Linked DNA regions of Notamacropus eugenii. The protein of the gene in region 3 interacts with the protein of the main gene of each other region in a pairwise test. Links are inferred from orthologs where the notes say so. Each region holds a gene or a part of one and is shown on either strand. Other genes may lie near its edges. The genes, in order: SUPT20H, DUSP1 and MAPK14.

What was found.
Region 1: the proteins of MAPK14 (region 3) and SUPT20H interact in binary tests that used the Homo sapiens proteins (3 or more experiments, as listed by UniProt). The link is inferred for Notamacropus eugenii from reciprocal best matches to the Homo sapiens genes MAPK14 and SUPT20H.
Region 2: the proteins of MAPK14 (region 3) and DUSP1 interact in binary tests that used the Homo sapiens proteins (3 or more experiments, as listed by UniProt). The link is inferred for Notamacropus eugenii from reciprocal best matches to the Homo sapiens genes MAPK14 and DUSP1.

Annotation. Positions count from the first base shown.
Region 1 is NC_092876.1:98,555,745-98,563,195, reverse strand, and holds the start of SUPT20H (transcription factor SPT20 homolog), read left to right. Parts: upstream 1-4,394; 5' UTR 4,395-4,489; coding exon 4,490-4,492; intron 4,493-7,451. UniProt on the Homo sapiens protein: Required for MAP kinase p38 (MAPK11, MAPK12, MAPK13 and/or MAPK14) activation during gastrulation.
Region 2 is NC_092872.1:404,682,551-404,690,420, forward strand, and holds the start of DUSP1 (dual specificity protein phosphatase 1), read right to left. Parts: upstream 3,072-7,870; 5' UTR 2,595-3,071; coding exon 2,225-2,594; intron 1,873-2,224; coding exon 1,727-1,872; intron 1,301-1,726; coding exon 1,081-1,300; intron 962-1,080; coding exon 591-961; 3' UTR 1-590. UniProt on the Homo sapiens protein: Dual specificity phosphatase that dephosphorylates MAP kinase MAPK1/ERK2 on both 'Thr-183' and 'Tyr-185', regulating its activity during the meiotic cell cycle.
Region 3 is NC_092873.1:93,169,958-93,177,844, forward strand, and holds the start of MAPK14 (mitogen-activated protein kinase 14), read left to right. Parts: upstream 1-4,818; 5' UTR 4,819-5,260; coding exon 5,261-5,376; intron 5,377-7,887. UniProt on the Homo sapiens protein: Serine/threonine kinase which acts as an essential component of the MAP kinase signal transduction pathway.

The DNA.
Region 1 (7,451 bases), on a different chromosome or scaffold from region 3:
TCGCTCTCTAGCCTCTCTGCTTTCAAAGGTAATAAAGTATAGAGCAAGGGCCTAAAATTGATGGCAGATAGGTGGTATAATGCACAGAATGGAATTCTGCTTCAGACAACTGTTCAGTTGAGTCTGACTCTTTATGACCCCTTTTGGAGTTTTCTTGGCAAAGATATTAGGATGGTTTACCCTTTCCTTCTCCAACTCATTTTACAGAGGAAGAACGAAGGGACTTGCCCATTGTCACACATCTAGTAAATAATCTGAGGTTGGATTTGAACTCAGGAAAATGAGTCTTCCTGACTTACGCCCAGCACTCGATCCACTGAGCCACCTAACTGCCCCAGTTCAGACAATTACTAGCTGTGTAATTTTGGGCAAGTTTATTAACTTGTCTGCCTCAATTCTGCATCTGTAAAATGGAGATAATAAAAGAACCTACCTATAAGTATCAAATGAGATATTTTATTTGTAAAAAAAAAAAAAAGTGCCTGGCACATGATAAGCACTATAAACGTGGGCTATCTTCATTGTCGTCATTATCCTCCATGCAAGATTCCCTCTTTGACTGTAAAGGACCTGTCACTTGTTCTGAGCCTCAGTTCCTTCATCTGCAAAACAAGGGTTAGGCTACCTGACCTCTGAGGTCTCTACTGCATCTAAGATCCTGGAGTACAGGCATGAGATGATCTTTCTCCTGAACTCTCAGGGGGCTCCTCTGAAGGAAGAACCCTAAGAAGAACTCTTAACTTCCCTTCCAGCTCCGACAGTGTATATAAAGCTTTGAAAATTCAAGACAAAGTAAGGGCATCACAGTTTCGTTCTCTGCTAAGTACAATCAGGAATGGACAGCTCCCTGCAAGATCTGATTTCAGCGGTGGCAATGACATTGACATGAAGCCTAAGGAAATCCTCCAGATCCGTTGTCTCGCCCTTTCAGAAGAGGGCTCCTTGAGTTCAGAGATGGTCTATTCTGGGCGTACTCCCAGGACCTAGCAGTGTGTTGTGTATGGTAAGCTTCATTCATTCAATTATTGGCCAAGGAAGACTCGAATTTGAACGCAAGACCAAGGGTGTCCCTGAACCCGGCAGCCTCAGTTTCCCCGTAAGTCACTTAATCGCCCTCAGGCTTAATCGAGATAATCCTAGCATTTACCGCACAGAATTACTGGTTCAAATACGTACGAGCCCTTTGCAAATGCCCACTATTACTATTTCTTACTGTAAATCATTTACAACTCTCGCCCTCAGAAGGAGCTCCTGGAGGGAAGGGGCCGTTTTATTTGTTTTGCCTTTCTTGGCTTCGCTTACCTGGGAGCCAAGGAGAGAGTAGGTGTTTGATAAATGCTTGGCGGTTGATTGATTGATTGATTGGATGATTAGCTAGAAGGGGAAGCAGACTCTGCACGAGCTTCGAGGCGGAGCGCTCGCTCGAAGGACTGCTCGGAGGAGGCATCGGGAGGCCAAGGTGTGACTAGGCTGCTTTTTTTTTAATTACTCAGGTGGGGTCAGAGATGGGAATCCAAGCCGATGGCGACCTAGAAAGAGATGGAAGCGGCTAAGGCACAGAGGTGGGGCGAGGACGGCCGCGAGCCCCTAAGGGCCCTGGAGGAGCAGCGGAGAAAGTGGAGAGCGCCCGCCGCCACAGGACAGGCCTCGGGCCTCCCGCCTTCTCCCGCACTCAGGGGCCCAGGCCTGGGGCTCCGCCCCGCCCCCGGCTCCTCCCCTTCCGCCGCCGCCGCCGCCGCCGCCGCCGTGAAGGAGCCCAGCCGGGCCGGCCGAATCGGAAGTGCTAAGACCGGAACAGGCCGCCGGCCAGGCGGGCGGCGAGGAGGGAGGGAGCTGAGTGCGTTCGGCTGGGCCGGGCAGGGCTGGGCCGGGGGGAGCCGCCGGCTCACTCGCTGTGTGGATCGTCCTGCCAAGGCCGGAGCTGGCGGCGCCGTCATGAGGCCAAGCGCCCCAGCCGCCGCCGCCGCCGCAGGGGCAGGTAGGGAGCGGGCGGGCAGGAGGCGAAGGGTGTGGCGGGCCGCTGGGGCCCGGCCCGGCCCTGCCTCAGCGATCGGCCTGGCCGGGCCCCCGGCTCCCCTGCGGCTACTCGCTGGCGCCCAGGACGACCGTCATCTCTGCTGGGGCCGGGGGGTAATGGGGGCGTGAAGAGGGGGGAGAGCCGTCCCCACGCCCTCCCCCTGACCCCGGCGAGTGTGGGGCTGGGGGCGGGCTGGGGTCGTGGTGCCCCCGCCTCGCCTCGGCCTCCCCTGGGGAGCGCGGGTACTCCCTCCCTCCGGCCTCCTGCTGGGGCTGGGCTCCGGCCCAGGTTCCCGGGCACAGGTATTTTCCGGAGACCTGGCACGGATTTTGTACCTGGCCGTGGCCCGGCTCCTTCCCGTCAGCCCCTGCCTCGCTGCCCGAGGCCCCCGGGCCTAATGGGAGAGTTTGCTTTTAAGATGGTCACTTGTGCTGCCCTTGAGCGTGGAGTGATGTGGGCCACGCAGGGCATCCATCCCCAAGTCTCTGGGGGGGCGTCCTCCAAAGCATCCTAGTACTGGAGGGGGCCTCCGAGGGGTCCGGGCCAAATCCCTCATTTTACAGACGAGGAGCCCAAGGCCCCTGGAGGTGGTGACTAGCAGAAAGCCTTTCCCCTCTCCTACTCCTTGCCTACCTTTAGATGAATTATGTATTCATCTCCGGACACTGCCCAAGTTGGAGGAGCTGGAACAGAGATGGCACTTAATAAACGCTGGTTATCTCAACCCAGGCAGTTGCCTAAGGGATCTTTTTCTATTATTTTTCTTGCACATGCAACTTACTGAAAGTCCTAAGTGAGAATTCCCTTGCTTTTCCAAATTAGGATGAGTAGGAAAGTAACACCTTGAGTGAGCATGAAACAAAATCAGATAGGGAGCCAGGTGAACAAGAACGTAGAAAGGATCACCCAAGTACTAGAAGGGTGATTGAATTTCTTGCTTGACCATCAAATGAGTTTAACTTGTGGAGTATTCTTTAGCCTGCATAGATAAAAAGAGATGAGGGTTAGGTGCTTTTGATAAATAGAGTGATATCAGCCTGCATAGTTATATCCCTCAAAGTGATTTTTAAAGTTGCTAAAATTCAAACAATCTTCATAGTTTATTTCAAGTTGAATTTTAAAGTAATCGATCTTGTCGGTATTTAAAATAAAATTCAGTCAGTCACAAACTTTTGATTGGTCACCCTCTCATCCTCCCTATATATAATTTATAAGTTAGTTAAATCATAGAATGAAAGAGTTCCTCTTTCAGAAGCCCTAATTAGCTATATGGCAGAATTTGGAATCAGAAGACCAGTGTTTAAATCCTGATTATGTTCTTTATTTACAGTGTGGCATGCAAGTCAGAGCCTCAGTTTCTTCATCTCTAAAATCAATGGACAAGTATTTAAGCACTTACTACTATGTGCCTCCATTATACCTCTCAGGGTGGTTGTGAGAATCAAGTGAGGTCACAATTTCCCACTTGGTGCCTGGCACATATCAGGCACATAATATACATTGTGCAAGCAATACACAGTTAAAATATATCTCCTTAACCTTACATCCCATCTTGAATAAAGAGGCTTCATCCTTTGAGGTTCCTTCTAACTCTGAACCCAGAGCCACAAATTGTACCCTTAGCTCAGTAAGCTAACTGCACATTAGTGGTCACGTGGAGCCAGGGAAAAAATTCATACAGATTAATAACTAACATATAGCACTTTAAAGTTTACTGTCATTTGATGTACATAAGAACCCTGTAATGTAGGTGCTATTACTATCCCCATTTTATAGAGCCGAAATTTTTGGAGTCACACAACTAATAAGTAAATAAAATTTGAACTCAGGTCCCAGACCCTAGGTCCAGTGTACTATCTGCTATGAAACTTTGCTGCCACAGGAGAATAACAAAATATATTCCCTTTGTTGAAGGGGAGAGAAAAGACTTTATACAAAAAAGTTCATTGAAATTGATAGAATTTTTAATCCTACTTTGCAAAAAAGTGTTTAGTGAGCATTGAAACTGATTTAAGAGAATAACTAACCCATAAGAGATTATGAAAAAGGTTTACTTCTTTGAGAGTAGAAGGTAGTTTAAACTATTCAATTATATTCTTCCAGAGAATGAAGTGTTTGGAAACTATGAGTATTTGATGATACGATATGCAAAATAAATGTATCTACTCAGTGTTGTTAATTTTACTTTTCAGAAATGATTTAAAGATTTTGTATAGAAGTTCTAGAAAGTGCTTTTTTAGTATTTGTATGGGAAGCTTAAAAATGTGAAGATGACTGTGTCACAAGCAATTTGCCAAGTTAGCCACCGAATACCTTTTGTTTCACTTCCATGAGCATTTTATGTTAATAAAATTGTTTTTGTTTTTTACTCTAACAGTACTATGAAATTGATCTTGGACATGATTGTCATCACCCTTCATCTACGCACATAAATTATTTTCTTCTTCTTTTGAATAATTTTTTTATGCTACAATGGTAAGTTTCATCTTTTGAGGTAAGGGGTCTGGACCTGTGATTTTATTGGTTTAGGGAACCCCCACTATAAAGAAATTTCCTCTGCTAGGCAGATCTATTCTGAAACTTAGAGTGCCTGGGGCATCAAGAGGTTAAGTGACTTGCCTACAGTCACACAGCCACTCTGTTTCATAAGTTCGGACTTAAGCCCAAGTGTTCAAACACAGAGGCCAGGTTTTTATCCACAACTCAAATGCCTCTCAAAATGAATTTTAAGGCATCTAGATGACACAGAAAATTGGGCACTGAACCTGGAGTCAGGAAAACCTGAGTTCAAATCTTACCTCAAGGTGTTACCTGTTTAATGCTGGACAAGGTATTTAATCTGTGTGCCTATGAAATAAAGATAATAATAGCATTTACCTTGTTGTAAGGATAAAATCAGTCTGTAAACATTTATTAAGTGACTACTGTGTGTCAGGCACTGTGCTAATTGCTGGGGAAAGCAAAAGAGTCAAAAAACAGTCTTTTCCCTCAAGGAGCTCACAGAAAGAGAGACAGCAAGCAAACAGAAATGTACAAACAAACTATACAGGATAAATATGAAATAATTAAAAGAGGGAATGCAGTAAAATTAAGAAGGGTTGGGAAAGACTTTCTGAAGAAGGTAAACTTATAGTTGGGACTTCAAGGAAGGCAGAGATGAGGAGAAAGAGAGTTCCAGGCATGGAGGGCAGTCAGAAAAAATGCCCAGAGCTGAGAGATGAAGTGTCTTGTTCATGGAAGAATCAGGAAGAATCAGGAGACGAGTATTAGATGTAAGAAGACTGGAAAGATAGGAAGGAACTAGGTTACAGACAGCTTTGAATGCCAGACACAGAATTTTTTATTTGATCCTGTAAGTGATAGGAAGCTACTGAAGTTTATTTTAGAGGGGAGGAGGGTAACCTGATCAGACCTGAATTTCAAGATAAGCACTCTTATGGCTAAATGGAGGATGGATTGGAGTGGGGAGAAACTTGAGGCAGTCAGACCCACTAGTAGGCTATTGCAATAGTGAAGACATGAAGTGTTAAGGGCCTGTACTAAAGTGATAACAGTGTCAGAGAGAATGGGGCATATTGGAGAGACGTTGCAAAGGTGAAATCACCAGGCCTTGGCAGCAGATTAGATGTGGAAGGACTCAAGACTGAGGAATCCAGGATGACCCTTTGTTGTAAGCCTGAAGGACTGGGAGGATGGTCTTGCCTTCTACACTAATAGGGAAGCTGGGGAATGGGGTTACAGTTTAGAGGGAAGGACAATGAGTTCTATTTGGGACATAATGAGTTTGAGATGTTGACTAGACATGAAGTCCAAGATGTTTGAAAGGCATTTGGGCAGGATAGGTTCATTTTCGAATCATAGGCATGGAGATGGTAATTAAATCCATGGGAGCTGATGAGATTACCAAGTGACATAGTATAGAGGGAACAGAGAAGTCCCAGGACAGAATCCCTAGGAACATTTAGCACAGAAGACTGAGAAGAACTGGTCAGATAGGTAGGAGAGAACTAGGAGACATTGGTGTATTGAAAACCTGGAGAGAGTATCAAGGAGAAAAGAGTGATTATCATTTTCAAAGAGGTCAAGAAGAATGAGGATTGAGAACAGGCCAGTGGATTTGATAACTGAAATCATTAATAACTTTGGAAAGAGCAGTATTGGTGGAATGATGAGATTGGAATTCACATTGTAAGACTTGGTCAAGAAGTGAATGAGAAAAGAGAAATCAGAAGTATCTATTGTCAACAGGGCTTTTCAAGGAGGTTGCCCATAAGAGGCAGAAGAGATAGAATAATAGCAGAGGTGAAAGGATCAAGTGAGGGATTTTTGAAAATGGGGGGGACGTAGGCAAGTTTGGGAATGATCCAGTAGAGAGGGAGAGATTGAAGATAAGTGATAGAATGTGGTTGACAGAGGGGTTATTTTGGGGAAGACAAGATGGAAGAGGCTCACTTGTGGAGGTGGAAGAGTGGGCTTTGGGAACAAGTAAGTTTACCTCACTATGTGAGACAAAGGTTAAGGAGGAGTTAGTGGCAGAAGTCATTGTAGTGATACAAGATGGAGAAGAGGGAGCACTTAGAGAATGACCTCAATCTAATTTGGCAGGGAGGGTCTAAGTAAAGTATAGGGCAAGGTTCTCATTTGAGGGGAAGTAGGGTTGAGGGGAGCCACGGGAAGTTGGAGAAGGTTATGAAAATTGAGAGTAAAGTACTTTTGTAAAGTACTTCATAAATCTTAAAGTATTATATAGAAGTGCTAGCTATTATTATTTTAAGGAAGAGACAGCTAGGTCACTCAGTGGATAGAGCACTGGTCCTGGAGTCAGGAAGACCTGAGCTCAAATGTGACTTCAGACACTCACTAGCTATGTGACCCTGGGCAAGTCACTTAACCTATTTGCCTTAATCCCTTGGAGAAGGAAATGGCAAACCACTCCCATATTTTTGCAAGAAAACTCTGTACAGGGGCACACAGAGTCAGACACAGCTGAAAGACCAGTTATCTTAAGATGTCTTAAAATATATGTTCTCCATGAATATGGCAGCATGTTTTTTATGACATAAAAGAAGTTGCATCAAAGTGCTTTTTCAAAGTAGCCTAATCTAGTGTGAAAGTACTTTAGTAATCACATTCAAGTTCTCTACCTCACAATTAACGTATCTATATTATAGACATCTTTTTTTTTTCTTTTCCGGGGTCTTTGGTGTATACTAAAAAGTTAAATATTTACTTTTTATACATAACAGAAAAGTTTCCAGCCACATGTAATTTTTCATTTCTGTTTACTTGAACTAAATGTTTAACCTGATGTATTTCTTCTGCCCAACTATCTCCTCTTTAGCAGTTACGCTTAGACAATAGTTGACCTTTTTTGGAAGTAAGTTCCCATTGTAAGCTCTTAAAGGGCAAAGAACTGAAACACAAGAAACATAGA
Region 2 (7,870 bases), on a different chromosome or scaffold from region 3:
TGTTTAAAGATGTATTTACAGGATTACAGTACTCCAACAAAAAAAAAATTGAGGTATTTGGTTTTTCTAGAAGTGGAATCTGAGGTTTGTGAAAGCTGAACACATCTACACAAATAAATAATGGGAACTTTTGCATTGTATATGTGTGTGTGTGTGTGTGTGTGTGTGTGTGTGTGTATACACACATCAAAGGGGAACGAACAGCCTCTTCTGCTGGCTAAGTGTCCAGAAATGGTAATACTGGTAGGTTTGTCAAGCACAAAGACTAAAGTTCTAAGAAGAGAGGGCACTAGGATCAGCCCACAAAGTGAGCTGTGAAAAGTCTTTTTTCTTTTGCTTCTCTCCAAAGGAACCTGATGTACCAACTAAACATTGGTCCAAGACACACTTCAGAATTGAGCACAAATGAACCTTAGAGTCAGTTCAGTCTAGTTCACCTATGTTGTTCTCAAGTGTGGAGTTCAGGAAAGAGTTGAACCCAGATGACATAACAAAGCTGAGACATTATCCCCCAGAGTTATTGCACTTTGTTTTAGACGGAAGGAGCCTCAAGTTCCTCATGTGGTTCTTGAGTAACTTCCCTGAGTCTCTCAGCAGCTTGGGGAAGTGGTCATTGGGCTCTGAAGGTAGTTCAAAGCATTAGAGGAAGAATGGACGGGGATGGAGACAGGGAAATTAAAGACTGTGGTTGTGGAGGTCCCTCGGTCAAGTACAGCCATGGCAGGACTTCCTGCTTCTGCCGAACAGTGAGGAGCTAGGACTTGGGACTCGAACTGTAATAACTGACCCATAAAGCTGAAGTTGGGAGAGATGATGCTTCTTCTTTGCTTCACAAACTCAAAGGCCTCATCCAGTTTGACCCGATTGGTCCTCATGAGGTAAGCTAGGCAGATGGTGGCTGATCGGGAGATACCAGCCTGACAGTGAACGAACACCCTTCCTCCTGCATTCTTTATAGAGTCTGGAATACATACAATGGACAACTGTTTACCCCCAAAAAAGTATCAATACACTGGGCTTTTTCTTCCCAGCATAACCCAAACCCAATGTTTTGAAAGACATTCATAATGATTGATTTACCTATGAAGTCAATGGCTTCGTTGAACCAGGAGCTTATATCAGCCTTGTGGTTGTCCTCCACAGGGATGCTCTTGTACTGGTAGTGATCCTCAAAATGGTTGGGGCAATTTGCAGAGACATTGATCAAGGCTGTGATTCCCAAGGCATCCAGCATATCTTTCCTGGACGCATGATAAGCACTGCCTAAGTACAGAAAAGGCAGGATCTCCACTGGACCACCCTGAAATACAAGAATTTTTTAAATGGTCAGACACAGTCCCAAATTATGCCATATGAAATATGTGCAAAATATTCAAACCCTTCTGGTGCCTGATTTTCTTATTAAGTTATTGGCTGAGGAGGACAATTCACTAGATACAATTACTGCCGAAAGAAATGAGCACACTACCACAAGGCAGTGACTCTGGGTGGTGGGGGTGGGAGACGATAGGATTCATTAATCATCGTGTCACTATAAAAGTGAATTATTTCCATTGTCTTAAAGGATGGTCAACACCTGGATATCTAACGTCCTATCTACCTCGATCTACTTTACTCTGAAATGAAAAAAATTAAAAATTCCTGGTGGTCATTACAGGGTATTTTCTATGCCCCTTCTCCCTAATATTCGAGCTCTGTGCCTTTCTCCCTCCCCCATTATACTGACCTGGTCATAGAGAGGTGTGCCACAAGAGCTGCACCCTGATTCTGCACTGCCGGGGACGTTGGAGCTCAGAGGTAGGCTCAGACCCATAGGTGTCGACTGTTTGCTGCACAATTCCGAGCAGGCAGAAGAGAAAGCTTCGTATCCTCCTGAAAATACAAAATAGACATTGTCTCTCATTACCTCTGACAACCAGGTATTTCATTCCGCTTCTCATCATTACCCCCAACCTGAAACCACACTTTAACAAGAGAGGGAGGCAAAGAAATTCCTAGTCTGGTGTTTTTAGCAAAGCTTAAGATCCTCTCTGTGACAATCGCTTTTGCTCGGAGTTTTTGTTTAAAAGGGTTCGCGATTGTGTCGAGAATAAGGGCCAGGAGTATTTGAGTAAAAAAGCTCCGGAAGACAGAGATTTTTCAGAGAGCCCCTAAAGATTGCCCCACTTCGTCCCCATCACTAGCCCCACAAGGACTGCCAGTGGCAAGTTAGGGCAATCCGTACCTTTGAGAAAGCAGATGCGCGCTGCGCGAGCCTCCCTACACAGGGCACTGGCGGCCAGCATAAGGGTGCTGTCCCTCTTAGACAACTCCAGCTCCGGGCTTCGTTCGTCCAGGAGCACCACGGCGTGGTAGAGGCCAGCAAGCAAGCGGCTCCGCAGCTCCTCGTTGGGGACGATGTGCTCCAGTCCCATGGCGCCCTTGGCGCGCCTCTTGACTATGGTGCTGAAGCGCACGTTGAAGGAGCCCAGGATGTGCGAGGAGTTGAAGGAGAAGAAAGAGCGGCAGTCCAGGACCAGACACTGAGCCGCCCGCTCCTGCAGCAGCGCTCTCAAGCTCTCGCAGTCCAGGGAACAGATTTCCATGTTGACCATTGCTCGAGGGAGGCCCCCCAGCGCGCCCAAAGGTGGCAAGATCGAGAGTGGGGGAATGCGGGACAGAGCCGAGCGGGCTAGCGCTCACCACGTAGCAGGCAAACAAAACAAAAAGGGGCAGGGGGACTTAAATCACCTTCCTTCTTGGGTGGGGAAAGGGAAAAAAGGGAAATCCACAGCGGGTTGGCTGGCGCTCCCGGGCTCAGGGAAAGTTCTTTGTTTCTCTCCAAAGGGCTGGAGTCTTTTTGTTTTGTTTGTCTTACATTCCTTGTAAAAACACAGCCCCTTAGACCAGGTTTTCTAGCGTAGAGTCTGTGGCTCAAAACAAGCTTCCTTAAGACTTTTGTATTCGAAGAAGGTAGAAGACAAGAAAAGTGTCCAAATGGAGTTTCTTTCTTTTTCTTCCTGCTTTCCTTTCTATTAAGCGGATCTCAGACAGCTGTACCCTCACTGTGCTTTCTGCTAAGCGCACGTTGGACAAGCTGCCTTATATAGTCCAACCCGGAACTTTTTCCCCCCCTCTGTGTGAGTGTGAGTGTGTGTCTGTGTGTGTCTGTGTTTGTTTGTTTGAATGGGGCAGGGTCACGTGGTTGAGAGGTGACGTCACCGGCCAGGCCCGCGCTCAGCCCTCCTGGTGCCAGAAGCGAAGACGTCATCGCCCTACCAGCAAAGACAACTCTATGAAAACGCGGCGCCAGAGCACCAGCCGGGCCTCCCCACCTCCTTCCCCTCCCCCTATCCGCCCCATCCTGCTCTTTGGGCAGGAAACCAGGTACTGGAGCCAGCAGCTGCTCCCTGGGGGGGAAGGGGGAGGGGACGGAGGAAGCGAAGCCACTGCCCGCCCTTCCAAGAGCTGATTAAAGGGTATGAGATGTACCTAAGAGAGAGCTAAGAATACGCGCCCTACGAACCAGCTCGCTTCTATCGGGAGTCTTGCGAGGGGGCACAGGAAGAGGCACTGGATTCGGAATCCGAATACTTTGGTTCCAATCCTGGCTCTGACCTTGGCAGCGACAGTGAGCAAGATACAACCTCCTCTGGTCCTCAGGTCCTGACCTGTAAGATGAAGGGTGTATGAACTAATCTATCCCTAAGCTTTCCAACTCTAAAATCCCATGATTGCGTCCTCTGGGAGCCGTTCGGAACGTGGTTACAACAGAACCAGGGAGGCTGGTGTTTATAGGAAAATATATAATTTTGCTGTTAGAAAACTCATTCATACCCAAAGTGGGTCCCCTTCATTCACTGTCTATATGCTGAATCAATTGTCGGGTTTGGTGATCTAGTTCTTCGGAGTTGAGATCTAACTCGTTGTTACTATTGAATGGGATTAGGGAGGAAGCCTCATTGTGCTAAAATGCGGCAGCTTAGTGACCAGAACCCGCCTCTAGGACAAGGGAGGACAACCAGGCATCTCATTGGACACTGAAGGGCGAGAGGTTTTTTTAAACGAGCCTTCGAAGCCTCTTCTACCAACCGACTTAGGACAACTGGGGCGAGTTTCCTAGAGACACTTAGATCCGACAATAATCGAAAGTGTGTTGTGCATTCAAGTGACACAGGTTTATGAGTATTTCTGCAAGTTCCCTTTAGCTTTGTCATTTGATCTTTTTAGAAAACTGTCACTTGTCCTTTTTTATTCCACCTCCCCTCCCCTGAACCCCTCTAGTCTCTAGTTCCATTTTGATTGTAGATACATACTTCTGCAATTTGTATTACTGGACTAGGTCAGTATGTAAATATTACACCACTATGTGTCTTAGTGCCCAGGACTTTAAGAACATGTTGTGGTTTCTTCTCCCACTGTTCTTTGGGGATTTCACAAACGGACCTCTGTGTCGCTTTACTGAATGCTGGTTCATCAGGATACAACTTCTTATGTCAGGCTGGGTTCAGATGCGCCTACGCGTACTGAAACTCCCAGATGGGTTTCTTTTCTAAAGGTTCAGGGCACAAGTCTCTGGTTGGAATTTTCTTAAATTTATTTTCAGTCCAGTTATTGCTCATATCAGATCAGAGAGGCCCTCTGTGCCAACGTGTTAATAATTACAAAAGAAGAAAAAAAGAAAATTCTTCAAAAATCATTGTTTGTTTCTAGCTTGTTATGTAGCTTCTGTGGTTGTTTGTTTATAGTTTATGGTGGCATAGTAGGTTACTGGTATTACATAGTAGACATCATTATAAAAGCTTTTATTATGTGTCCAGTGCAGAAGTCAATCCTCTGTACTTTGAATTCTCAAAGACCAAGATAATGTGTAAGAGGTTTACAAAGGTCTATTTTGTATTATGATTCTATGAGTTTATCCCCTCCAGTAGACAGAAAATAGATTGAGTATACACATTGTAGATGCTCAGAAAATATTTGTTGAAATGAATTCATAGCTGTTCTATGAAAAACTCCAAAGACAGAGGGTTTTCTATATACTAAAAATTCTTAGGATTAATTGAACTGCCTAGTCAAAGCTTCCATTATTCGAACAGGTTCAGGTCATAGCTCATTTAAAGATAGGAACAAGTGAACAAAGGCAAATATTATTATCTCCATTCATTTAGCATTCTTATGAGCTCCCAGCAGTGTGGAAGAACAATTCCAGTGGCCCTAAAGGCTGTGGTACAGTAGAAAGAACCATGAATTAAGAGTCACATAACCTGGGTTTGAATCCTGATTTAGCTATGATTTTGACATGGAAGATATGAAGTAACTAACTTTCCTCCTTTATAAAAATGAAGAAATTGGACTAGAAGATTTCTAAGATGTAACAAGATGGTCCAGGAAACTCCTGATGAGGAAACTTGGAATCTTTACCCACCAAAACAGCTTCAGTCACTATTCTGCAACTTTTGGTTTTAGAAAGTTTCCTAGGGTATTGAGAGATCAAGTGAGTTGTCCAGGGTCACACAGAAAATAAGAGTCAAAGGCAGGACTTGAACACAGGTCTTCCCCACTCTGAGGCCCAGTACATAATTAATACAGGCTAGGTGTTAGGCATTATTTCTGGCATAATCATTACAAAACACTTTTCATGTATTTCCCTCTGTAATAAAAGAAATTATTTAGAATATTCTTCGAAACATTTGGTTTTTTCTACCTAACATAAGGCCCCAAAGAATTTGAACTAGGCTTCCAAGGCCCCCATGCATTAGCTCCTCTAGGGCAGGAATTGTCTTTTGCCTTTTTTATCCCCAGCACTTAGCACTATGCCTGGCACAAAGAAGAGGCTTCATAAATGACTAACTGAACCAAATACAGAACAACATCCAGTTCATTGTTTTGTATATAGGAGTTGTTCAATAAATGTTGAATGAATGTATTCTAACATTGTTACTGAGCATTACATATACCTTTTAGAAGCATATAGGACCCAGGCTTCAGTTGCATTATAATATATTAAGAAATAATACAATGGCATATCCAAAAGTCCTTGGTCTCACTTGAATCAAAGACTCAGTCAGTCTTCTTTGAATGGTAGACATTCAGTTCTCAGGAGGGATCTTGATCCACTGAAACTAAAATTATTAGAGAAAGTTTGCCTTGTTTATGGTGACCAAATTAAGCTATGGAAATCTCTTGTGATTGATCAATTGGGAGAGATCATTTAAAACTTTGTTCACCTTGGATAGAGTCATTATAGAGGGAGATGCTTCTTTCAGGGAGATAGTTCTCTAAGACTTTTGATTTACTTAAACAGAATTCTTGTACAATTAAAGCAAATCAAAACCTATGAACTTATACTATATTTTTTCCTACTGTGAACTGTCTTTTTGTTTCATGGTTACTGTAAAATATGTTGGGTCACAGATAATTCTAATTAGCAATAACTCTGCCCACATGAATCTATTTCCAAACAGAAGTTCTTGTATATTAATTATTGTCTCTATCAAATTGATTTGTCACCTTCCTCTCCTTTTCCCCCAACCCAATAAACTCCAGTGGCTCCTTATTATCTCCAGGATCACATATGAATGCTTTATTTGGCTTTTGAAGTCTTCCTTTCTAGCATTCTTATACCTCACTACCTTCTGTGTGCTTAGCAATCATGACAATGGACTGTTCCTGTTCTCTTTTCTCAGTACATTTTCCCTGGTTACTCTCCTGGAATTCTCTCCCTTCTGGTCCCCACCTCCTGGCTTACCTACCTTCCTTTTTCAAGACTGAGCTCAAATCCTACCTTCTGTAGGGTAGGACTGCTAGAGCCTTCCCTTTGAGATTAATTTACATTGTATATTCAGTGGATTCTCATTATTCCAGGTAGTTATAGTCTATTAAGTTGTGGCAAACACTGAATTAGCAAATACTGAACCATTACACTTAGGAGAAATACAGGTTAAGTTCCTGCAAGACTCTAATCACAGTTTATTTTAGCACTTTCTAGAACAGCCTCACATAAATCTGTGAATTTTCTCTTCTTTTTTTCTGGATGTTCCATATCGTTGAATCTTTAGCATTGAACTCACAGCAAACAACACTAACTCATACCTAAATGAAGCTTATCTAGCACACATACTTTCTCCTTAAGGCACATCACAGCCTTCTCATGCCTAGGAACACTAGTCAGCCCTTCAGCACTATGTTTGGGGGTCATTTTAGACAGCTAAATCACCAACAAAATGCACCAAAATGTGAAAAATGTAGTACTAAATAGACCTGGAGACCTATTTCAATTTCCAGGAGTCATGATGGCAAAGTAAGCAGTAAATTGCTCTCATCCTCCCTTATGGACCTTGAAAAACCCAGAGACTATTACCCCAGGAAAAATCCTGGAATAGTGGAGCCAGAATTGGACAAGTAGAAGCTAATGACTCTATGAGACATCAAGAATCAGTTAAACAAAATGAAAAGAATGAAAAAATAGAAGAAAAAGTAAAATACCTCATTGGAAAAAAACAACTGACCTGAAAAATAGAGCCAGGAGAGATAATTTAAGAATGATTGGTCTACCTGAAAGTCATGATCAAAAAAAAGAGCCTGGACAGCATCTTTCAGGAAATCATCAAGGAAAACTGCCCTGAAGTCCTAGAATCAGAGGGTAAAATAGCCATCTAAAGAATCTACAATCACCTCCTGAAAGAGATCTCAAATTGAAAATGACAAGGGATATTGCAGCTAAATTCCAGGATTATCTGGAGAAAATACTGCAAGCAGCCAGAAAGAAACAATTTAAATATCATGGAACCACAGGACCTTGTAGATTTTACATTAAAAGATCGACAGGCAAAGGAGCCTGTCAACCAACTATCCTGAGAATTGAGCATCATCTTTCAGGGAAGGAGATGGA
Region 3 (7,887 bases):
TCAATTGGGGAATGGATGAAAAAGTTGTGGTATATGAATGTAATAGAATATTATTGTTCCATAAGAAATGGCAAGGAAGTAGACTTCCAAAAAACCTGGAAACATTTGCATGAATGGACGTTGAGTGAAGTGAGCAGAACCGGGAAAACATTGTACAGTAACATCAACATTGTTTGATGATCAAGTTTGACAGACTCAGCTCTTCTGAGCAATGCAATGATCTAAGACAATTTCAAAAGATTCATGATAGAAAATGCTATCCACAAGCAGAGAAAGAACTATGGAGTCTGAATGCAGACTGAAGCATACTATTTCCTCCTTCTTTAGTTGTTTTTTCTTTCTCATGGTTTTTCCCTTTTGTTCTGATTCTTCTTTCACAACATGACTAATATAGAAATATGTTTAATATGATCATACATATATAGCCTATACTTCATGTGGTCTTGGGGAGGGGGTTTGGAAGGAGGAAGGAAAATGTAGAACTTAAAATCTTATAAAAGCAAATGTTGAAAACTAAAAATAAATAAATTTAATTTTAAAAAAATGCCCAACTAGGAGACAGGTTGTGCCCAAGAAACAGCAAGTAGGCCAGTATAGCTGGATCACAGGTTTGTGGAGGGTAATAATTTGGAGCCAGGCTATTAAAGGATTTAACTGACAGAAGATTTTATATTTGATCCTGTAGGTAATAGGGAACTACTGTAGTTTACTAAAGGCATAGTCAGATCTGTCCTTTAAGAAAATCATGTTGGCAGCTAAGCGTATGATGGATTGAAGTGAGGAGAGGCTTTATAAGCAGTACAAGTTTACAAAAAGCTTGGTGAGAGACCTAATTACCCAATCATATTGATGGGGTGATGGGACCTGGGTCCCTAAAAGGAAAAGATCATGCCTTTGAAACCCAGTCCCTGAATTTTCCCATACATTTCAGCAGCCTAGATCACTAGTGCCTCCACCCAAGCCACCCACCTAGATGACCTAATTAGCTTACTTGACATTCCTTTCACTGTTTCACCAGGCCTACCCCAGACTATGTAGCACTCCTTAATCCCATTCAGATCCTTTTTGTATATAAGCATGTCTCACCCTCTTCAATTTGAAGATTCCCTAAGAATCTCTCCTCATTTGTCTGGAAGAAGGCTTGAGTGCTTGAATTCATTCCAGACACTGTCCTGTACCCTGATATTTCAGGGTTTCCAGCAACCCAAACCACATCAATATCCTCTCATGAACATTTACAGATGAAATGTAAATGTAAAATGAAAGAAGAGATTTGCCAAGACTTTTACAAAAAATTGCTTTTTCCTTTGATGACTGGGAGTCACCACTATTGTTTGTTAACTACAAAGAAAAAAAAACTCAACATTTGATTTGGTAGAGCAAGATGCTACCTCAAAGCCTGTCTTCCAACAAGGTGCCTCCCCTGCATATGTTAACTCATACATTCCTTGAACGGTACAATTGAGATAGCTAGGTCTACCCTCTTGTTATTAAAGTGAGACCTAAAACAGAACTAGGCTTTTTAAAAAGTGCTTGCCACTATCATGGAGATCTCTAGTACAGAGTCTAAATGAAAGAGGGATCAATCTCCTGTAGATGGTGAAGTCATCCAAATACCCTTATTTACAGATGACAGGGTGAAAATTCTAAAATGAGATCCATAATCACTTAAAAGACTTTAACCTAATTATCCATATGGAAAAATAAAGTATGTAAAGATGCTTACTGTCCAGACTATGATACAATAAGCTATTAGAGTAAAGAGCCCATAGTGTAGGTCCATCAGGGCATACATATTGGCTCTAACATACACTGCAAATGGACAATGAAATAAAAGAATTAAATAGGAAGGTTAAGAGAGTTTGAGGCAAGGAGATGAATAGTCAGACAAAGGATAGTGGTAAGTATAAAAAATAAAATGGATATTTTTAATTAGGTGAACTTTGCACAAACAAAATTAATGCCATTAAGAAAAGAGAAGTTGTCAACCAAAGAGAAAATCTTTATATCAAACATTTCTGATAATGGTCTAACATCCAAAATATATAGTCAGCCAAGAAAAATATACAAGAACAAAAGTAATTTTCTAATAGATAAGTGGTCAAAAGATAATAAGTAATTCTCAAAAGAATTGCAAACTAGTAAAAACCATATAAAGTGATACCATTAACTAAAAATAAGAGAACAGCAAATCAAAAGAACTCGTTTCACTTTATAACCAGCAAATTGGCAAAGGTACAAAAGATGGGAATAGTCAATGTCAAACGGATTGTGGAAAGAAAGACAGGCACACTAATGCATTGTTGGTAGAGCTGTAACTTGGTCTCACTATTTTATGGAAAGCAATTTGGAATTATTTGTGGAATGTGACTAAACTCCTATATCCTTTGTTCTAGTGTGATTCCACTAGTAGGCATTTTAACCTCAAGTTGGTCAATGACAAAAAAGAAAGACTTCACACATACCAAAATATTTGCTACAGAACTTTGTGATAGCAAAGAACTGGAAACAGTATATACCCAGTAACCAGAGAGTGACTAAACAAACTGTGGTATATTATGGTGCATAATGAAATGCCACTCTCCCTCATCATCTCCTACTGGCTTTCCTGGTTTCCTTCAAATCTCTACTGAAGTTTCATCTTTTCCCACACTTTCTCAAACCTATATCATTGCTAGTGCCTTCCCTATATGGGTCGTATTTATCCCATATATATGTTGTTTCTATTTGTTTGCTTTTTGTCTCCCTCATTAGATTGTAAACTCTGTGAGGGCAGGGACCGTTTTTACCTCTTTTCATAACCCCAATACTTAGCACAGTACCTGGCACATAGCAGGAGCTTAATAAATGTTTACTGACTGATAAGAAACAATATAATGACTAGAGAGAATTACATAAAAATACATAATTGATGCAAAGTAAAGTAAATAGAAGCAGGAAAACAATGTACAAAACAGTTTAATGAAAAAAACCAATTAAAACTGAATGCTGAGAAAGTATAATAACTAATCCAAGTCACCAAAAAGATATATTAAAATGGAGAGGTGAGGACCATGGGTGGGCAACACTACAGATAATGTGAAACTCTCTGGATGTGCTGTTTAGTTCTGCTGAATTTTTTTCCCTTTTTTTTTAAAAGTGTGGCCATACTGGGAAAAGTAAGTGATGCAAAAACTAAAAAGTTTGAAAAAAATTAAAGAGGTCCAATTGGAAGAGGAGGTAGGTAGGTTACATAAAGACAATGAAAGATAATAATGGATGACCCAAGTGTTCCACTGGTACCCATATACCATCAAGAGATATAGAGGAAGGAGCCCAAAATGTTTGGTGGATCCTGTGCAGAGGAATAATTACCATTCAAATGTTGGAAGTAATACCTACACAGAAGAAATCTCAAGTATGGTCAAATTTTGAAGCTTTGAAAGGTCTTCACTATTAGAGTTCTAGACTAGTAATTCTGATGGTGCTTCAAATCAGGTGAAAATATTTTATGATGGGAAACAGGATTTTTTGCAATCTTTTTTTCTTTCCAATCGCTAGTGTTTTGTTTTTTTCAAGACGTTCCCAGAGTACTGAACCACCATGGCTACCCATCTCCCACATTCAAAATCCAACTGAAATGCCACCTCCTCCAGAAAGCCCTCCCTGACCACCCCCAGGCCTGAAAGACCCTCGTGGTACCTGACAGGGCTATTCTTGGAGCTCTTTCCCTCGACTTCAGTACTTTCTCCAAGGATGAAGATGGCAATCCATCCATGCTTTCTCTCTATGGGTCCTTCCTGTCCACTTCTTTACATAAATTTCTCTAGAGGTTCTTTCCTCTTTATCACGTATAACTTTGCATTAAAGGTATTTCTATTTATTCATGTCAGCCAACCCACATAGGCTGTCAGCTTCCAGAAGGCTTGGGAGGATCCTAAGTATCATTTTAGACGTACGAGCACAGCACTTCACGCGTTAACTCATTAATTCCATCAGGTTGAAAGAGCCTCGAGGGCAACATCTGTCTTTTGCCTTTTTGTAGCCCGAGCGATGGGCACGGCGCCTGGCACATGGTGGGCACTCTCATTTAAGACGTTTATTGAATTGACTTTGATCCCTACGTCAGCCCCGTGAGTAGGCGCTCTCGTTATCTCCGTTTTACAGACCAGAAAACTGAGGCTCAGGGGTCAGGAGACGTCTCTGGGCTCACAGTGTCCTGAGGCACAGTCTGTGTCCTGGCATCTCTGCCAGCGCCTCGAGAGATTTAGTACATGACTGTGGCATTGAGGCTGGTGGTGAATCTGCCAAGCGGACACGAGGCTCCCCTCCATCGAGAAGGGTCCAGCTCGGCTGTAAGGCCCTGCAGGGACTGCACGGGCCTCTCCGAGCCGAGGCCAGCGGTTTGCCTGGGCAGAGGCCGGGCCAAGGGGCCGCGCGTTCCTCCCTCTCCGGCCCTACACGGGCAGGCCAGCGGGGTTTGACGCCCATCAATAAATGCGCACCGGCAAGACCCCCGTGTCCCTGTCTCTCCCACGGGACCACCGACAGCTTCCGGTCAGCTCTCATTCCCGCCTGGCCGAGAAACAAATCTCCGACCTGGGGAAGACACGCAGAGGCGTCCGCGAGCTACGTCTCGCGAGAACACGCCTCCTCCTCCGCTCCTCCTCCTCCTCCCCCTCCCCCTCCATAATCCCTTGCCTTCCCCCTGTCCCCCGCGCGAGCAGGTTCCATATTGGGTAAAATCTGGGCTCGCGGAGGACCTCCCCGGACCCACCCCGCGCGAGGCTCTCGCGAGATCTCGTCCAGGAGTTCCCGTCTGCGGGGAGGTGGGGTGGGGGGAGGGGAGGAGCTCGCAGATTCGCAGGCGCCGGAGCCGCAGCTGGCGCGGGAGCTGCCGTCGGAGCCTGAGCTGCACCGCCGCTGCTGCAGCAGCCACCTCCGGGCGGAGAAACCGGCCCTTTCGCTACCCCCGCTTCGGACCCCCTCCCGGCCCAGCCCTCGGGTACCGGGGGGAAGCAGCAGGAAGGCGGGCGCAGTCCCGGGTCCTGAGTGTGGGAAGCCCCCCTTGCCGGTGGCCAGGGTCCCCCGGGGGTGGGCAGAGTCGCCGCGCGCCCCCGGCTGACAGCGGCTTCGGGGGTCGGCGGGGCCGTCGCTGCGGCAGCACCTGCGGAGCGCCGGGGGAGCTGCGGGGGGGGCCCGGCCCCGACGGGCGGGCGGGCGGAGGCGCTGGCTGGCTCCCGCTGGGCCACCTCCCCTGCGCTGCAGCCGTCGGTGGAAGATGTCTCAGGAGAGGCCTAAGTTCTACCGGCAGGAGCTGAACAAGACCATCTGGGAGGTGCCCGAGCGCTACCAGAACCTGTCCCCAGTAGGCTCCGGCGCCTACGGGTCGGTGTGGTGAGTATCCCGAGCTGGAGGGTGGGACGGGGCCGGAGTCTCCAGCTTGCTTCCCAGGAGCTCAGGGATGCGCCAAGCGGCAGGAATTCCCCCCCACCTCGGAGAGGGCACTGCTCCCTCCTGCACACCCTCGTGCCCCCTCTTGCACGGCGGAGCCAGCTTATGACAACTCGTTTGCACCTACGTAGAGCCGTTTGCATTAGTCGGATACCGGACGGCCCGGGTTGCCTGCTCAAGGGGACTCTCTTTCTTCAGACCCCCCCGCCCCGCACCCCGTAGGGCTGCAGGGAAGATGGGAATGGGAGGTCAACTTATTGAGGAAGTTCTACCAGCGGAAGGCAAGCTTGGCCCTTTATTGATCTTTGCCAGCTTCGGCGGGCGTTCGCGACGGTTCCCCACCCGCCCCCGCCGTGTGTCAGATCTGGCACGGGCTGCAGACAGGCCAAACATGGGGAAGCAGCCTAAGAATGGGAGAACTAGTAAGACGTCGTTCTTGGGCAGCAAACCCCACTGGGTTTTGTGCCTGATGGGGGGGAAATGTTTTTTCTTACTTTTTTTTTTTTTGCAAACATCTGTTGATTAAATATGAATCCAGTTTTCAGAAACGGGCATATTTGATGAGATTTCATCATTCTCAACCTTTTGAGCTTGAAATTTCTTACATTTCTGCAAGCCTGCCAATTTTTAATGTGCATTGCAACCTCAGCTGGTTGGAAGCTAATTTTTTTTTTTTAAATGAAAAGAAGGCACCTACAAGGCTGTTGTCATTTTAGAGTTCCATGGAATGATTGCAAGCATTAGAGCATTTTTTTATTCAAGTATTGTAAAGTTCTTGACAGAACATTTTCATTTGACTCTGGGAAAATGGGCCTGGTGTGACATCCCTAAGATGAAAAGTGGTTGTTCACAGTGACAGAAATTATATTTTTGCACGATTGGGATAATATTCAATTCACTTTACCAAAAGTATTGTAAAAGTTTCATACCATGGTGCATTTGCTAGTGTACACAAGAACTTTCTACATTTATTGCTGAGAAAACAGGTGTAGAATGTTTGCCTCAGGAAAACAAGAAAATGGAGAACTTGAAAGAGGTCACTGGCTATGATGAATTGTAAATGTGTAGAAAGTATGTTACCATAATAATTCTTTATGTAGCGTAATTAAATTTTTTAAGTTAGATTCTTAGAATTGGAAGGGACTTTTGAAATTGTCTAATGTAGCCTTCCAGCAAAAGCAAAACTTCTGCAGTGTCACTAACAAATGTTCATTCTGTCTCAGTTTGAACAGTTCACTTCATATCTCATCGTTTCACAAGGCAGACCTTTCTCTTCTTCAAATTTATTTTAGTTTAAACACGTATTTAGCCAATGAAAGCCATATGATGAATTGTGTACTTTAGATTTGTCATAAATATTGGCCTGGAAATAAATAGGTGATGGTTACAGGGTTTTTTTTCTTTAGTGTTGTGTGCATATATAATTTGAAAATTGTTTGTAACAATTTCATACTTGCCAAATAATTTCTGTTTTTAGGAAATATTCCTCTTTGGCACACTCCTTCAACATGATTCCTGTGCTCCTTAGAGTCACATCATGAATTTCCTGTTTGGTAGAATTTGCTCTGAAACTGAGATTGTGCAATTGCATCCAGTAACAGATCATATTGCATTTTTAAGCTCACTGTTTAATATGTGTAGCAGATTGTACAGTACTCTGCATCTTTTTTTCCCATTCTTTCCAAATGAAAATTTTCATTATAAAGCAACTCGATTGAAATAATTTCTTTTCTGAAAACTCATCTATATTTGCACATTTTCAGTTTTATGTGTGACTATTTCTTTACCAGATCATTTGGTCCATCTTAAGTAAATCAATCTTAATGAATTCGATTTTTGTTTCCAACTAGAATTATTTATTAGTTGAGTGATTTTATGCTAGATGAACTAGTTGAATTGAACTAAAGAATCTACCCAATGGATTTATTCTTGCGTGTACTGTTTGTTTTCTGAACATTAGCAGTTCTGCATGAAGTAAACTGTCCACTGAGATATCTCTTATGACAGTGTGAGAATAGTAAATCAATGAGTACATTGTTTGGTTTGGTGTTATCTACTACATTTGCTGATTAGCTTAATTTATGAGCTATGCCTTTAAAGTAAAGTGACTAAAACATACATGCAAAGAGTTTGGGAGCAAGCTCTTCAAAACCTTCATAGTTTGTATGCCTAAGACTCTTGCAACATATTTGGAGCTCTTTTGGAATTATCCATCAGAATACATTCTTGTGAATATTTTCAGTCGTAGCATATTTTCTTCCTTTTGAAGCTGCTAGCTACAACCTTTTCCTTTGTAGGTAGGTTTCTGGTGGAGTAATGTAGGTGATGAAACTGGAAGATACTGGTTTTTTGGTCAAAAAGCCATGTACATCTATAAAGCATTGAGACTTTTTTGTGGTTCTTAAATTGTCCTAAAGGCAGTTTGGAAAAAAGGATCTTCATTAATGCTTTGAG